3 linked regions of the Daphnia pulex genome follow. The protein of the gene in region 3 purifies or fractionates together with the protein of the main gene of each other region. This does not show direct contact. Links are inferred from orthologs where the notes say so. Each region holds a gene or a part of one and is shown on either strand. Other genes may lie near its edges.

Region 1 (5,029 bases), on a different chromosome or scaffold from region 3:
GGCGTTGGCTTTGGAAGACTACAATTTCGGTGAAAATCGCTACCTGATTGCCGTGGTTGCCATCGAGTTGGCGATGGACCACAAGCCGTCCAATCGTGAAATGACATCCGTCCTGCTCTCCGATCTCTACCAGCATTACTTGACCGAGCGGGAGATGGAGAAAGCGCTGGATCAATTGCTGCGCAATTTGCCCGATCTCGTTCTAGACACTCCAGATGCGCCCACTATCCTGGGCAATTACATCGCCCGCTCCGTTGCCGACGACACGCTGGCTCCCCGTTTCCTGCAGAATTATCAAGGCAAAGTCGAATGCGATCTGGCCAAGTAAGAAATTCATTTGCCCATTCGATTGCATTAAAGAGTTTAAACTTAAAACAATTGAATTGCATTGTTAGGCTTGCTCTGGCCAGAGCGGACGTTTTGCTTTCAATGAAGCATGGAATGACTCGTTTGGACAATGTCTGGGGTGTAGGTGGAGGCCTGCGCCCAGTGGCATCATTGGTCCGTTCCATGGGACTCTTGTTGCAAGAGTATTTATCATCCGACGATACACTGGAGGCGGCCCGATGCCTCAAAGAATTGGAAGTGCCCCATTTCCATCACGAACTCGTCTACGAAGCCGTCGTGCTCGCACTGGAGGCTGCCAACGAAGAAACGGAGAATTCCATGGTTAAACTGCTCAAATCCTTTTACGACAGCACTATCGTTACTCCGGATCAGATGAAAAATGTAATTTTACTACTTTCCTGCTCATTTTCATATCAACAAATGCTAATATTTGAATGTGGTTTTATTTAGGGAATTTATCGCGTCTTGGATGATCTGGACGACATTTGCCTGGACGTACCAAATGCGGCATTGTACCTGGAACGATTGGGCGGTAAGTGTAAAACTGCCGGACTGATTGACGAAGCCATGTTGCAAAAGTGCAATGCCGCTAGGGGACGCAAGCGTTTCGTCTCCGAAGGTGATGGTGGCCGCTTCAAAGACTAAAAATATGCAAATTATCAAGTCTTTTTTTGTCGTTCGGTTCCACCAAAAAACCAAATCCAGAATGAAGAGAAAAAGAGAATCTGTGTGTCAAGTGTTGAGTGTTTTAAGAAGATATACAATAACCGAAATGATTTGGTTACTACATAAACCCACCACCTCCCTCTCACTCTTGTTACGACCCTCACCCTAAAAGACACCGTTCTCCAAAATTTTTGTTTTTCCCTCTCAACTTTTCTCTTTTCGGGTGTCAAATCCTGGTAAGAAAAGAATTAATGGAATGTTTCTCCTTTTTTTTTTATTTACTCAAAGATTACATGTAAAGGTTTGGAAGTTAAATAAACCAGATGTTTTGATCTTTCAAATTGATTTTTGTATTTTTCTCTCAACACCTGTTTTTGTTGGAAATAAGAGAAGAACTTTAATAAAATTGTACAAACCGCGGGAAGTTTTTTTCTCTAATCTTTTTTATTAGTTTACAAAGATGGCTAATATTTCTTTATATAATCATCAAACCACACCTAATTTGATTGCCCTGGGTTGGTTATAAGTTTTCAAACTTTGCCGACCATCTCCTTCATCAATGTTGTGCCCAACTGAGCTGGACTTCGAGTAACAACAACACCAGCCTGTCAAGTTACAAATTTAGAAGTTTTAACATATCTACTCTTGGCGTTAAATTTTGTTAACTTACTCGTTCAAGAGCCATAATCTTATCTTGAGCACCGCCTTTGCCACCAGAAATAATGGCACCAGCGTGACCCATGCGTCGGCCGGGAGGAGCTGTCAAGCCAGCAATAAATGACACTACTGGTTTCCTGTTGTCACCCTGCAAAAATAGAATAAAATTGTGTAAGGAATTCGTTCATTTGGGAGTAAACAGATCGTAAGTATACCGAATTGTGTTGAGTCAGGTACTCGGCAGCTCGTTCTTCAGCTCCACCACCAATCTCGCCGATAAGAATAATTCCCTTGGTTTCTGGGTCATTAAGAAACACTTCCAAACAGTCAATGAAATTGGTGCCGTTGAAAGGATCACCACCAATACCAACGCAGAGAGTTTGACCTAGACCCACCTGTGAGTTGAACGAGACAAGTCCATTAGTAACAAACAATTGGATGAATAGGAAAATGGTGCAATTTACCTGAGTAGTTTGATGAACAGCCTCGTAGGTCAAAGTGCCTGAACGTGAAACGATGCCAACACATCCTTGTTGGTGGATGTGACCAGGCATGATACCAATCTTGCACTAAAGTTTGGTTGTTAATAAATAGTTGTAGCATAAGTTTAGTGTATGAAACAAGGTTAACAGATATATTACCTTGCCAGGAGCAATAATTCCAGGACAATTGGGACCAATCAAACGGGACTTGTTTTGCCTCATAAGGCGATGCTTGACCTTAACCATGTCTTGTTGGGGGATGCCTTCTGTGATGCAGACAATTAAAGGAATTTCAGCATCCATGGCCTCCATGATTGCTTTTGCTGCTCCAGGAGGAGGCACATAGATGACTGTAGCATCTGGTTGCACTGCTTCTTTAGCCTGTTTAGATTTAAAACTTTTAGCCATTTTATAATTTGTTGGAATGAAGGATTGAGATTTACTTCTAGAACGGTGTTGAAAACGGGTACACCAAGATGGATTTTGCCTCCCTTTCCTGGGGAAACTCCACCAACCATGTTGGTACCATAGTCAATGGCCTGCTTGCTGTGAAAGGTTCCTTGTTTTCCCGTGAATCCCTGGCAAAGGACTCGGGTTGATTTGGTCAATTTCATTTGATGTCTAGTTGACGAATAGCACCACCTGACACCGACATTTGGTGGCCTCACAGATACTATAATGACAATAATGGTTTAGAATGAAATGAACCATAGACACATACCTTAAAAATAATCAACCAAACATTTAAAATCAAAATATTTAATTACCCAAGAAAGGGGATAAAACTCGAGCAGCAGCGGCCATGTTTCGTGAATTTTGGTGTGGGATCACAGTCAACACAAGTTTAGTAATGAAAGCAACATTGTAAATTTTTTAATGAAAATACCACATTTTACATTAGTAATTAATTATACACTTTTATTTCAGTTTATTTAAAACTGAATTCTTTATTAATTTAATAATAATTTGAGTTTTTTCAACAAAAAATAGTTTGAACGATCGGATTTGACAAAATGGCAACGTCTAGCTCGCTTTCAAACTCTCAAACCTAACTGGCTTTTTGCTTTCTGCTGCCGGAACTCCCTCCTAATTTTACTCTCAGTCACCTCGATTAGATGACCGTTGCATAAAGTGCGCCATAGTCTTTGTTCGATTTTAATTAAAATTGCAAGGGTAGTGCTCAGATTATGAGCGAAGTGAAACGCAGAGAAATGAGAGATAAAAATCAAAATATCCAAGTCTTCGTCCGAATTCGGTAAGGGCGTTTATTTTTCTAACTGTCTTTTTGCAACTCAACATAACGTTATTTTTTTTGTGGAAATTTCCTAGGCCTGTTAGCTCGCAAGAGAAAGCAGCCCGTTCACCCATTGTGGTTGAAACTCAAGCTGGCAACAATAAAGAAGTGCAGGTGGTTGAGAAGAGTTCGCTTACAAAATCTTTCAGCTTTGATCGGGTCTTTGGGAGCAATTCAAAGCAAGTGGATGTCTATAAAGTTGTTGCCGCTCCATTGGTGGACGAAGTGCTGGCAGGCTATAACTGCACTGTATTTGCATATGGGCAGACGGGGACAGGCAAAACTTTCACCATGGAGGGTGAAAGGCATGACGAATTGTCATCTTCATGGGAAAATGTAAGTTTTTCGAAAACAGAACTTGTTCATGGTTAAGACTTTGTTTTTAATTTTGGTTTGTTAACTCTTTTAGGACCCTTATTCTGGAATCATTCCTAGAACGCTGTCACATCTGTTTGATGAATTGAGGATTCAAGAAGTTGAGTGTACAGTTCGTGTTTCATTTATTGAAATTTATAATGAAGACATCTACGATTTGCTGTCTGGAACTGATGACACTACCAAACTTCGGTGAGTCATTCATTACATTATTTTAACAATTTTGTGACCGTTTAGTAAAAACACATTTGTCTTTCAATTTGTTAAAGCTTGTATGATGACACAACCAAGAAGGGCTCAGTCATTATCCAAGGCATGGAGGAGGTAACTGTGCACAACAAAAATGAAGTGAGTTTTTCCTGATTTCTATTGTCTTCCATTCCAACATTTTAAGGCTGCGTTAAGTCCTTTGTTTACCATCTCTTATTTCATGGTTATTTATCTTACAGGTTTACAGTATTTTGGCTAAAGGCTCGCTCAAGCGTCAAACAGCAGCCACGCTAATGAATGCCCATTCGAGTCGCTCGCATACCATCTTCTCCATCACTGTTCACATCAAGGAGAACACCGACGACGGCGAGGAGCTTATGAAGATTGGCAAACTGAACCTGGTCGATTTGGCCGGGAGTGAGAACATTGGTCGTTCTGGGGCCGTTGAACGCCGAGCTCGTGAAGCTGGCAATATCAATCAATCGTTGCTGACACTTGGTCGTGTTATCACTTCCCTCGTCGAGCGTGCTCCACACATCCCATACAGGTATATAATTTAAACGAAATGATTCAACCGCGCCCAACAGCCACAAAAATGGATGCGTCATTCAACGCGTTAATAACGTTAAAATGGAAATGTTTCTCTCTTCTCTTGGAATCATTTAGAGAATCGAAACTGACACGCTTGCTTCAGGACTCTCTGGGCGGCCGAACTAAAACGTCTATCATCGCTACCATCTCGCCAGCGGCCGCCAACCTGGAGGAGACTCTATCAACCCTCGACTACGCCCACCGAGCCAAGAACATCACCAACCGACCCGAGGTCAATCAGAAGCTCACGAAAAAGGCCCTACTCAAGGTAATCATCGCATACTTGAGAGTGCGCGGAATCCTATCAGCTTTCTCCTCCGCCCTCATCTGACTTGTCTCGAAATATCCTGGCCGGTGTTAACGACCTATCCCACACTACTTACTGCCGCTGCTTGGCTTGACTAAT
Region 2 (5,542 bases), on a different chromosome or scaffold from region 3:
TTGAAATACGGTGACGAACATGTCGAAAAGTATGATCTCAGCTCCCTTCGCACTCTAGGCTCTGTGGTATGATTGTAAATTAAGTGTCTAATTAAACGTGATCACGGTTCAACGTTATTTTCTTCCCAGGGTGAACCCATCAATGTGGAGGCTTGGCACTGGTACAACAAAGTTGTGGGCAAAGAGAAATGCGTGGTTGTGGACACTTGGTGGCAAACGGAAACGGGAGGCATTTGCATCAGTCCAACACCCTCGGCTCCTGGATCAGAAATTCGTCCCGGTATGCCGATGAGACCGATGTACGGAATCTGGCCTGCTATTCTAGGAGAAAAGGTAATGTCTAATATTTATTTATTTTCCAAATTCATCCTGATTGGAAATCTGTTCTGCAAAGGGGGAGGAGTTGTTAGGCAATGATGTAACAGGTGCCTTGTGTTTGAAAAAGCCTTGGCCGGGAATGGCACGCACCATTTATGGAACCCACAGCCGCTTCCTGGAAACTTATTATCGACCTTTTAATGGCTTCTATTTTACCGGTGATGGTGCTGTTCGACACAGTGATGGCTACTATCAGATAACGGGAAGAATGGATGACGTTATCAACGTTACTGGACATCGACTCGGTACTGCCGAGGTGGAAAATGCCCTGGTATTACAACAAATATTTTAAATTAAAAGAACTCGGATGACAGTTTTTCGTTCCAACAGGGTCAACATCCGTCTGTAGCAGAGTCAGCCGTTGTGGGGTATCCTTGTAGTGACAAGGGCGAAGGCATTTACGCTTACGTCACTCTTAAGGACGGATTCGTCGCTGATGCCAAGATAGAAGCTGAATTAAGAGGAATTGTCCGGCAGAAAATTGCTGCCTATGCGATTCCGGATGTAATACAGGTATAATAATAAAATGGCAGGAAAATTTCTTAATCATAATGCTAATGTTGGTTCTCGACGTGGTACATTTCAATAGATCTGCCCTAGTTTGCCCAAGACGCGATCCGGCAAGATTATGCGACGAATATTACGTAAAGTTGCGGCGGATGAGACCGACAATCTGGGTGATATTTCAACGTTGGCTGATCCTGCTGTTGTCGAGGATCTTGTCTCTCGCCATCGAACCTTAAAATCAAATCACCTGAATAAAGCTAGGACTAGTAAATTGTAGTGTAATGATTTTGACATTTCATAACGTCAAATGGCATCGACTCTTTCGTCCGTTATACAGTTGACTAAACATCATCGCCATCGAACCCTGAAGATTCAAGGGAATTAGGTCAAATTTAGTCCTTGGAATTATTGACACCTCACGTTTAAATCACCAGCATTAACTAATTTTATGTTGACTCACTCTTTCGACATTCTTCTGTTACTTCTAAACGAAAGCGGATTTCCATAACTGAATGGTTTGAGCTTTTTTCTGACTTCGCCTTCTGCTGCCTTATAGTTGTAAAAATAATTACAAAAGTACAAATAAAAACAACTAAGCCTATGATTTCATATGGTGCTGAAATGTAAGACAATCGCAATGAAATACACTGCCATCTTTAAGAGATTGTGTCGCTTTACTTTCATGATAATCAAAGGATTGTCCCAATAACGAATATCGTGAGCGGTATTTTGCATTCACGACGTCAAGTTCTGATTGGGCTCTAGCTAGTTTACTAGCTAGCTGATAAGTGGCTAACAATATTTGTTTGTTATGCTAGTTAAAACTTAAATTCAAAATATAGGATATTGATTAAAAATCCAAGTCCAAGTACCCGAAATTTTGAGTTTCTATTTTAGGGTAATTTCATTTGACTCATTTCTCTTTACTCAAGTGAAAATATTTTGAATTTTGGGTATTTCTGTTTATCCCATGTTTGTCCTTTGGATCTTCTATTATTATCCGCTTGGAGCGCTAGCTCTACACCGTGCATGATTTTCTATTCATTTCCTTACGTAACTTTTACACGACGTTGTCCGGTCAATTTGGCTATCCAAAAAGTTAGTCAAAAACGCAGTTCTCGTCATCGAAAGAGGTTCAATTTTACCTCTCACTTAAACCATGGCTAACATTTTGAAGCTCTCACTGGAATTGGCTGGAAAGGTGTCCTCTCCTTTGGTGAGTGTCGAAAATATCAACGTCGATAAAACTTAGTTAAACTTTAAAATTTATCAAGATTAGTGTATTATTATGATATTCACCCAAGATATTGACCAAATAACTAATTGAGATGTTACCAAAATGGAATTTGTAGCTTAATGCAAGGCCAGCTGTGATTGGTAACCGTAATTTCCACTTCACCATTGATGGACGCAAGGATTCTAATGTTGGAACAAGCCAGGTTAGTTGTAAAATTTTATTGGTAGACCCATCAGATAGAGAAAAATTAACCCTTTCTATTTGCTGTTGGCTTGTAATCAGATTTCCCGAGACTATCCAGTTGTTGATCACACCTATGATGCAGGTATTTTGATTACATAACAGTTAAACAAAAATTGGTATTAATTGTTTGTTTTATAGTTGTTGTTGGTGCTGGTGGTGCTGGACTTCGTGCAGCTTTTGGCTTGGTTGAAAAAGGATTCAAAACAGCTGTGATCACAAAGCTGTTTCCCACCCGATCACACACTGTTGCTGCCCAAGGTGGAATTAATGCAGCTCTGGGAAATATGGAAAAAGATGACTGGAAGTGGCACATGTATGACACTGTTAAAGGCTCAGATTGGCTTGGAGATCAAGACGCTATCCATTACATGACCAAAGAAGCTCCTCACGCAGTTATTGAGTTGGAGAACTATGGTATGTCCCACTTATCAATAATTTCTTCTACAGCAGACAATTGATCATATTTCCCCTTCGCATATCATTAAGGTATGCCTTTTAGCCGCACCCAAGACGGCAAAATCTACCAGAGGGCTTTTGGTGGACAGTCCTACAATTATGGCAAAGGTGGACAAGCTCACAGGTATACCTAAATTATTAAAACTTCAAGGCAGAAATTAAAAATCCTTAATTATTAACTAGATGTTGCTGCGTTGCTGATCGTACTGGCCATTCTCTTCTTCACACCTTGTACGGCCAGTCTCTTCGCTACGATTGCAATTACTTCGTCGAATATTTTGCTTTGGATCTGTTGATGGAGGAAGGCGAATGCCGCGGCGTGATCGCTCTTTGTTTGGAGGACGGATCCATCCATCGTTTCAGATCCAAGAACACTGTTCTCGCTACCGGTGGATATGGTCGAACCTTCTTTTCATGTACTTCTGCTCACACTTGCACTGGTGACGGTAACGCCATGGTGTCTCGTGCTGGACTTCCTCTTCAAGATTTGGAGTTCGTTCAGTTCCATCCTACTGGTAAAGGAATTGCAAATTAGCCTATTAGATCGTTTGGACTAAATTTGACCATAACAATAGGAATTTACGGAGCTGGATGTCTCATTACCGAGGGTTGCCGTGGAGAAGGTGGTTACCTTATCAACAGCGAAGGCGAACGATTTATGGAAAGATACGCTCCAGTGGCTAAGGATTTGGCCTCACGTGACGTCGTATCTCGTGCTATGACTATTGAAATCCGTGAAGGACGGTAATATCTTTGCCAAATCAAAGAAATGTATAATTATGCTCAAACTTTGATGCTCTTGTAGCGGTTGTGGCCCCGAGAAGGATCATGTATACCTTCAACTTCATCATCTTCCTCCACAACAGTTGGCTGAACGCCTTCCTGGTATTTCTGAAACGGCCATGATTTTTGCCGGCGTTGACGTCACTCGTGAGCCGATCCCAGTGTTGCCTACCGTCCATTACAACATGGGTGGCGTTCCCACGAACTTCAAGGGCCAGGTAACATCGCTTATCATCTTGTTTGCAAATGAAACGACTCCTGAAATAATTTTATTTTCATCCCCAGGTTATTACGCACAAAGATGGAGCTGATGTTATTGTACCTGGTTTGTACGCTGCTGGAGAAGCTGCCTGCGCATCCGTGCACGGTGCTAACCGCCTGGGTGCCAATTCTTTGCTCGATTTGGTCGTTTTCGGCCGAGCATGTGCCCTAACTATTGCCGAAGAGAACAAGCCATCCGAAACTATCGGAAAATTGAGTCCGGTAATATTCGTTTATTTGATTTTCTATGATTTTGTGTTGTTCAATCATTTGTCTTGATAGAACGCTGGCGAAAGTTCCGTGGCGAATTTGGACAAGCTTCGTTTTGCCAATGGTAGTGTCACCACGGCCGAACTTCGTGGCAAGATGCAGAAAACTATGCAGAATCACGCAGCCGTCTTCCGTACTGGAGACGTTTTGGTAGAGGGATGTAAGAAGATGTCTGATCTTTGGCCATCATTGCACGACATCAAGGTGGCCGATCGCGGCCTAGTCTGGAATTCTGATTTGGTTGAGACCCTTGAGCTCCAGAACCTCATGTTGAACGGCATTCAGACCATCTACAGTGCCGAAGCCAGGAAAGAATCTCGCGGTGCCCATGCCCGCGAAGATTTCAAAGACCGTGTCGACGAGTACGACTTCAAGAAGCCGATGGAAGGTCAACAGAAGCAACCTCTAGAGCAGCACTGGCGCAAGCACACACTCTCCTGGTGTGATCAGGAGAAAGGAGATGTCACTTTGCAATACCGCCCCGTCATCGATGAAACGCTAGACGAGAAAGAGTGTGCGACGGTTCCCCCCGCATTGCGCGTGTATTAAAATACAACTAATAAATTCCTGTATCTATCGCCGTGTTCCGATTGTAGCCACTGAAAATAGACTAATACATTTTACTGAGGTGTTCTTGACAAATTTTTTCATGCAATTTTTGTAAATTTAGGTTGGGAAAATTCTGAAAGGTGAAGTAATTAGATTTTATTGTTTTGAATCATTTACATCTAAGTAACTTTTGATCCTTGAGTTTCTTTTCTCTTTTTTAGAATTCTCCGTCCGCTATCGACCTATACTACCTCACCAAGGCCACGTCAAAGTAATTTGATCTCTTGGTCTTTTCAAGTTGCCCGAGGGATGGAGTACTTAGCTGAAAAAAAGGTAAAAGACACCAGGGTTTTTTTCTTCCTTAATCAGCATTCATTAATTATGATTTCAGAACATTTTATTATTGCTCTTAACAGGTTCTTCACGGTGATTTGGCCGCCCGAATGTTTTGTTAGCTGACAATGGAGTGGCTAAAGTAGCCGATTTCGGAATGGCTCGTAAAATGTATTACGATGAAAGTTACGAAAAGGAAGAGGTGGATGGACTAATTTCTTCAGTGCACTTGATCCTGGTAGCCAAACAATGTTCTGCTCAACAGATCCGTTTAATTCCGGATATTCCAGAACAAGTGCTGGTTGCTGTAGGTTTCAACATCACCCCCAATATGTATTATGTAACCACAGGAAAACAAAGATCTGAGGTTCTTTCAACTATCGAAAATGAAAAATGCCTAAGGCTTTGAAAGAATTACCTTATATGGTTATCATAGGGGTTAAAATCGTTTCCGAGAAAGGAGAAAGCCTCCGCAGCTCCCCCTGCTTCAATGTTGTTTGTTGTCCGTTTCGAAACATCGATGCG
Region 3 (5,437 bases):
TAATTGACATTTGATAAGACATTTCTTACTTGCTTTAAAGTTAGGTGAATCAGGTCCTGGTTGATATAGAGGTTCATTTGAAGAGGGTTCTTCATCATCTTCATCAAAGTAACTTTGAAAGTAAATGTAAAATAAATAGATGGGATTTCAAATGTCCATGCATATTAGCTTACTCGTCTTCTGTTTTCGGCCTATTGGTGGGTACACCATATGTTGTATTTATCGCACTTTGGCTTATTGCGTTTAGAGTACTATAGCCCTGCTTACTAACTGACACTGGTGATACAATCTCAACACTGATGGGACCAGCCCCAGGTGCAGGATGAAATCGGTTAGAACTGGAAAAACTGCTACTACCAGGTAAACCGGGACGAGAAAATCTTGGGGCTAGAGGTATAGTGTTTGCATTGCCTGGTCTTTGCATCGACGGTGGCGGGGGAACTGCATGAAGACTGCCACTAGATTTGTTTACATTCGGTCTAGGTCTTGGACCTACACTGAAACCAGAAAATCGACTACCACCACGTCCTGAATTCATTTTTGTTTAGAACTGAAAAACTGTACTTAGTTTCTCTCATCAAACTCGCAATAAGTTAGCCCTGTTCAATTCTTTTTGAGCTTGTGTTTGCTTGTTGTGATACAGTTGGAACAACTACCGGCAGACGTATGAACTATTTTAGTTCAAACTCCGCTCTGTCCAAACTCCTAGGAGTCCTAGCTCAAAAAAGTTTCTGTCTTGGAAGTTTATAAATTTAAAATTAAAGAAGCTAAATTTTTCAACAAAAATACTACCGTATAATTAAGCTATATAGTTTATGCATTGTTTCCGAGAAATTAGCAAATCGTACTTTTTTTAAATGTTTAATTGAATGCGACGGCAATGCAGCAAGAGCAGACTACTGCTGATAAGCAGACAGGCAAATGTCACCGAATGTCACAATCTCACAAATATAAAAAACTTGTCAGAATAAACTTACAGGATATTTGTAGAAAAACTCGACTTTCTCATCATATTGCCTGTTTGGTACCTATAGACAAGTGTATGAAAAATTGAAATGACGAAGAATTTCCAGTTGGTTGATTTGGCGTGGGAACTCGGAGGTAAACATTTAAAAACTACTTTGCAAAGTTTGATTTTTCTCAGTATTTGTCTTCCCCCTACAGTGACTGCTGCTTCTAGCTGTGAGGAACAAGTAGGTCAAACATATGTCAGAATCAAAATGAAGCTAAATACTGGATCATCATTAGAAACAACGGTGATGGAATTATCTCTTAAACAGTTTTATGATCTTCTTCATGAGCTAGAAAAAGCTCAAAACAACATGAAATAAAGGAAAATTGTAATGACAAAGAAGTGTAAATGTGATGTAAATAAAGTGAAAAAGAAATACAACATTGATTTTTCTGCAAAATGTACCCAATCAATATTGCACCACCTTTATTTTTATTTTAAATCATAGCTACAGTTTTTTGGTCCATAAATCTAAGGGTTAGATATACACAAGAATCCCAGTTAAGGATTAGATGCTTGCTACTGCTTTTTTAGCAGCATCATCAAGGTCACTTGCACTTTGAATTGGAAGTCCTGAATCTTTAAGGATCTGCTTTGCTGCATCAACATTGGTTCCTGTAACAAAGTTTGTTGAGTTATTAATTAATAATGGAGAAAAAAATACCTTAAAAATGTTACCTTCAAGTCTAACGATAAGTGGAACTTTCAACTCAATGCGTTTACAAGCACCGACAATTCCTGATGCGATGGTTGCACAGTTGACAATACCTCCAAACACGTTTACAAGAATAGCTTTGACATTTTTATCTGTAAAACAAAAAACAACAAAATTATAATTTAACGAGTAAACACGATTCAAACTATATGTACCAGAGGTGAGGATTTGGAATGCTTGGAGGACTTGCTGTTCTTGAACAGTGCCTCCAACATCAAGAAAGTTTGCAGGAGAAGCTCCATAAAGTTGAATAATGTCCATCGTCGCCATGGCGAGTCCAGCCCCATTAACTGTGATCCATTACAGAATGGATAATAGTAAACAACCGAGCAGGTGTATGTATTTATTTTTATCTTACCCAAGCAACCAATATTTCCATCCATTCCAATGTAGTTTAAGTTATATTTATTGGCTTCTACTTCCCTAGGATCACATTCCGTTGTGTCCTCCATGTTAAAGATTTCCTGCTGGCGAAACTTTGCATTGTCGTCGAAACCGATCTTGGCGTCAACACTAACTACTTGTCCTTGCGGGGTTTCAACGAAGGGATTGATTTCAACTTGCACAGCATCCACCTATAACAGCACAAACAATTGGGTTATTTTTAGCTCATTTGAATGAATACACCTATATGTATCCACCTTGAGAAACATTTCCCACAAGTTTTTGATTTCCTGAGCAGCTTTCTTTTTCAATTCCCCTTTGAAAAGAAGAAATTCTGCAAGGTCATTTGCCATTTGATCAGTGACCCCTTCAAAAATATCAACTGGTAGAGTCTTAATCAGTTCAGGAGTTTTATGGGCCACATCTTCTATATCCATTCCACCAGCAGGACTGGCAATGATAACTGGTCCATTGTATTCTCTATAAATTAACAAAAGCAAAATGTTAATCACCTTGATTGATCAATAAAAAGAGCTATATTGCATTTACCTGTCCATGAGAATGCAAAGGTAGGTTTCTCTTAAAATGTCAACTGATTCTGCTACCATCACATGATTCACAGGAATGCCATCTTTAGGTGTCTGCTTAGTAATGAGCCTTTTGTTCAACATTTCACCAACAAGACTTTTGGCTTTTACTGGACTGCAAAATAATAAATATGCTTGGTTTAATAGGTAAAAGGAGAAGGAGGAAATAATTAAGTTAAGTTTGTTTTATACTCTTTGGTAAGGTGGACACCTCCTTTAAAGCCTGAATCAAAGACACCTAAACCACGTCCTCCAGCTAAAATTTGTGCTTTAACAACATATTCTCCAGGATCTAAATAGAATATTACAAATTTTTAACAAATCCATAACAATATTTAACCAATGATAACTTACTAAGCTTAGACAGGGAATTGGTGTCTTCAATCTTGTCTGCAACTATGAATTTTTGCACCGTCACATTATACTTCTCTAAAAGAGATTTGCTTTGATATTCAAGCAAGTTCAAGTGCCTAACTGACTGAATATTCCATTTCTAAATTATCAAGAGAACCAAATTACTCACAGGTAAAAACAATCATAGAAAACTAGATTGGTACACAGTATAGGAGAAAGAAATTTGACTTACGGTGTGCACGTGTTTTCCCAAGCGCAAAACATTCCTGATATTGGAAATTTGAAATGCCATGGCGTATATTACTTAATTCCTGAGGACGAACGTGTAAAAAAAAATGAGGGAATCGTGGAGGACGGTTGGAATACAAATATATTGCTGCAGTCAGCTCTGCAGTCTGCAGCAGACGACACTTGGATCATCAATTTGTCAAATAAGGTTTGGTGTTCGTGCTCAATTGTATACGAATCGAGATAACGTGCAACCTTGTTTGATATAGTCTCTAATTTTTAAATTACTATAAATTCTTATGTAGTAAATCCTGCTCTATTGTCTATACTGTAATTTTTTATTTAGATTTGAAAGAAAGGGACATTTACGACAGGATAAAAACATAAAACTGCGTAGATATCAGAAAAAGTTTCTTTGCTTCTCCACCAGAGAGCACTGTGCAGTTAAAAGATGTAACAAAACCACAAAAAAGCAATTAAAAACAAAATTACGAAGATAAGAGCGCATTGGATTACAACCCAACCTGCTTAGATCATATATGAAAATCGCATGCGGTGGTCTCTTGGTGAACGACAATATAACAAAGCAATTATATTGCCTTATTGGATTTCCTTTCGTTTTTCCTGTTCTTTGGGTTAAAATTCGATTGTCTTTGCCGATTTATCTGTTTTTTTTTTTCTCTCCGAGAGTTGCTACTCGTGCGAACTTATTGCAAGTGGAAAAGCTCCTCTTCTCCTCCGGCCATAGCATTTTATGAGTACCGGGTTATGGAAAAGTTAGTGCTCTGTAAATAGAAACCCATTCTTTCTCTCAATCTCAGTTTTGCGATTGATGGCGACTATTAATGCGACCTATATATATATAAACGAACGGTATGCGGACTATGTGCTACACAGGCCTATTGCGGAATGACACAAATGAAACAAAGAGAAGCATTTCTCATATCTCTACGGCTTTTCAGACGAAAAGGATAGATAGATAGAAAGAAAAAAGTAAGCAGTTGACATTCATTGTCAGGATATCCATCAGGAAAAAAAGAAAATACAATTGACAATTAACCCCGTTACGAAAATGCTCCGGGGTATGCAATATGCATGCGTATTATTGGATCGAATTTTGAATTCTATAAGTAAACTATCGATTTCCATTGGAAATCGAGAGGGAATTTAAATGTTCGCGTCGGCACAAGCTCTCATGAATAGATATCTATCTCTCTATATATATCCGGCATAAATCAGCATCAGTAATGTCACCGGAAACCAACGTTATTGCTGCTGAATACCTTGTTGAATATTGATTGACTCTCTTTTTAAAAAATAAATAAATAATGTTTACTCCCTTTCGAGAAATTGAATCGCGAAGCATATATTTGAATCCCGAGTCTTTAAGCGTCCAATTGTGATTCGTGAACTGCTCGCACTGCTTAACATAATAAGAGCTGCCTTTTTAAAAGCACGTCATTCTAATATTACAGTCAATACGCAGCCTGTGAGATATAGACGACGAGGAAATACGGTATTGGGTTGTGTGTGTAAACTGGAGAACCCGGTCGTCTGTCACAACGGTTCTTGCATCATAGGCTGGCACATACTTAAGCTAATTACGGATTCCAAAGCGGAGCAACTGTCTATATGGTAATTGGGGTGATGGCATATATTTAAGAGAGAGATCTATACCAGTGATGATTGTCAAACAGCTCTGATGGGAACCTATAGATAGGCTATTTATCTCTCCCCCGACAGACCCAGCGAACTTGACAGTTTCGTTTCAAAAAAAAGATGGAGGGACGGGTTTTATCTTGTTTTATATTGGTGTTGAATCGTGGTAGATATTCCAACACTGCCAGTATATACATCTACTTAACTCTATCGTATTTGGTAAGCAGAAATAACAAAACAAATGTATGTATGAGGCTTCATCATGAACATATCGTCCTGGGATCTATACGCACAAAAGAAGAAAGAAAGAAAAGAAGATGTAGGAAATGGAGTGGTATTATTGACGGTCTGGTTTTGTGATTGTACATTCTCTATATATATACTACGACAATCGTTGAGTACCCGATTGGACTTGGTTAAAATGTCTTGCGGATATGATGCTGGCGTGTAAAAAGGAAAAAAAGTGCAGCGAGCGCCGAAAGCCGATCGATTCGAAAA

What was found.
Region 1: the proteins of succinate--CoA ligase [GDP-forming] subunit beta, mitochondrial-like (region 3) and succinate--CoA ligase [ADP/GDP-forming] subunit alpha, mitochondrial-like fractionate together in Homo sapiens (co-fractionation; 6 studies listed by BioGRID and IntAct, counting the BioPlex papers as one, with this or other methods). This does not show direct contact. The link is inferred for Daphnia pulex from reciprocal best matches to the Homo sapiens genes SUCLG2 and SUCLG1.
Region 2: the proteins of succinate--CoA ligase [GDP-forming] subunit beta, mitochondrial-like (region 3) and succinate dehydrogenase [ubiquinone] flavoprotein subunit, mitochondrial-like fractionate together in Homo sapiens (co-fractionation; 3 studies listed by BioGRID, with this or other methods). This does not show direct contact. The link is inferred for Daphnia pulex from reciprocal best matches to the Homo sapiens genes SUCLG2 and SDHA.

The regions. Positions count from the first base shown.
Region 1 is NC_060023.1:1,594,490-1,599,518, forward strand, and holds succinate--CoA ligase [ADP/GDP-forming] subunit alpha, mitochondrial-like, read right to left. Parts: upstream 3,233-5,029; 5' UTR 2,958-3,232; coding exon 2,921-2,957; intron 2,827-2,920; coding exon 2,597-2,826; intron 2,535-2,596; coding exon 2,313-2,534; intron 2,241-2,312; coding exon 2,136-2,240; intron 2,067-2,135; coding exon 1,887-2,066; intron 1,820-1,886; coding exon 1,685-1,819; intron 1,620-1,684; coding exon 1,545-1,619; 3' UTR 1,341-1,544; downstream 1-1,340. Other genes in the region: programmed cell death protein 4-like, read left to right, coding at 1-324, 396-729, 799-993; kinesin-like protein Klp61F, read left to right, coding at 3,341-3,408, 3,483-3,783, 3,857-4,014, 4,092-4,170, 4,272-4,579, 4,699-4,891. UniProt on the Homo sapiens protein: Succinyl-CoA synthetase functions in the citric acid cycle (TCA), coupling the hydrolysis of succinyl-CoA to the synthesis of either ATP or GTP and thus represents the only step of substrate-level phosphorylation in the TCA.
Region 2 is NC_060026.1:13,764,457-13,769,998, forward strand, and holds succinate dehydrogenase [ubiquinone] flavoprotein subunit, mitochondrial-like, read left to right. Parts: upstream 1-1,841; 5' UTR 1,842-2,044; coding exon 2,045-2,101; intron 2,102-2,237; coding exon 2,238-2,324; intron 2,325-2,404; coding exon 2,405-2,447; intron 2,448-2,503; coding exon 2,504-2,779; intron 2,780-2,851; coding exon 2,852-2,945; intron 2,946-3,004; coding exon 3,005-3,336; intron 3,337-3,396; coding exon 3,397-3,565; intron 3,566-3,626; coding exon 3,627-3,822; intron 3,823-3,889; coding exon 3,890-4,087; intron 4,088-4,147; coding exon 4,148-4,684; 3' UTR 4,685-4,777; downstream 4,778-5,542. Other genes in the region: acetyl-coenzyme A synthetase 2-like, mitochondrial, read left to right, coding at 1-66, 130-333, 395-649, 709-891, 968-1,162. UniProt on the Homo sapiens protein: Flavoprotein (FP) subunit of succinate dehydrogenase (SDH) that is involved in complex II of the mitochondrial electron transport chain and is responsible for transferring electrons from succinate to ubiquinone (coenzyme Q).
Region 3 is NC_060028.1:10,150,302-10,155,738, reverse strand, and holds succinate--CoA ligase [GDP-forming] subunit beta, mitochondrial-like, read right to left. Parts: upstream 3,657-5,437; 5' UTR 3,345-3,656; coding exon 3,285-3,344; intron 3,192-3,284; coding exon 3,053-3,191; intron 2,991-3,052; coding exon 2,891-2,990; intron 2,814-2,890; coding exon 2,661-2,813; intron 2,592-2,660; coding exon 2,369-2,591; intron 2,303-2,368; coding exon 2,086-2,302; intron 2,018-2,085; coding exon 1,883-2,017; intron 1,820-1,882; coding exon 1,691-1,819; intron 1,628-1,690; coding exon 1,521-1,627; 3' UTR 1,422-1,520; downstream 1-1,421. Other genes in the region: ATP-dependent RNA helicase DDX42-like, read right to left, coding at 30-112, 174-538. UniProt on the Homo sapiens protein: GTP-specific succinyl-CoA synthetase functions in the citric acid cycle (TCA), coupling the hydrolysis of succinyl-CoA to the synthesis of GTP and thus represents the only step of substrate-level phosphorylation in the TCA.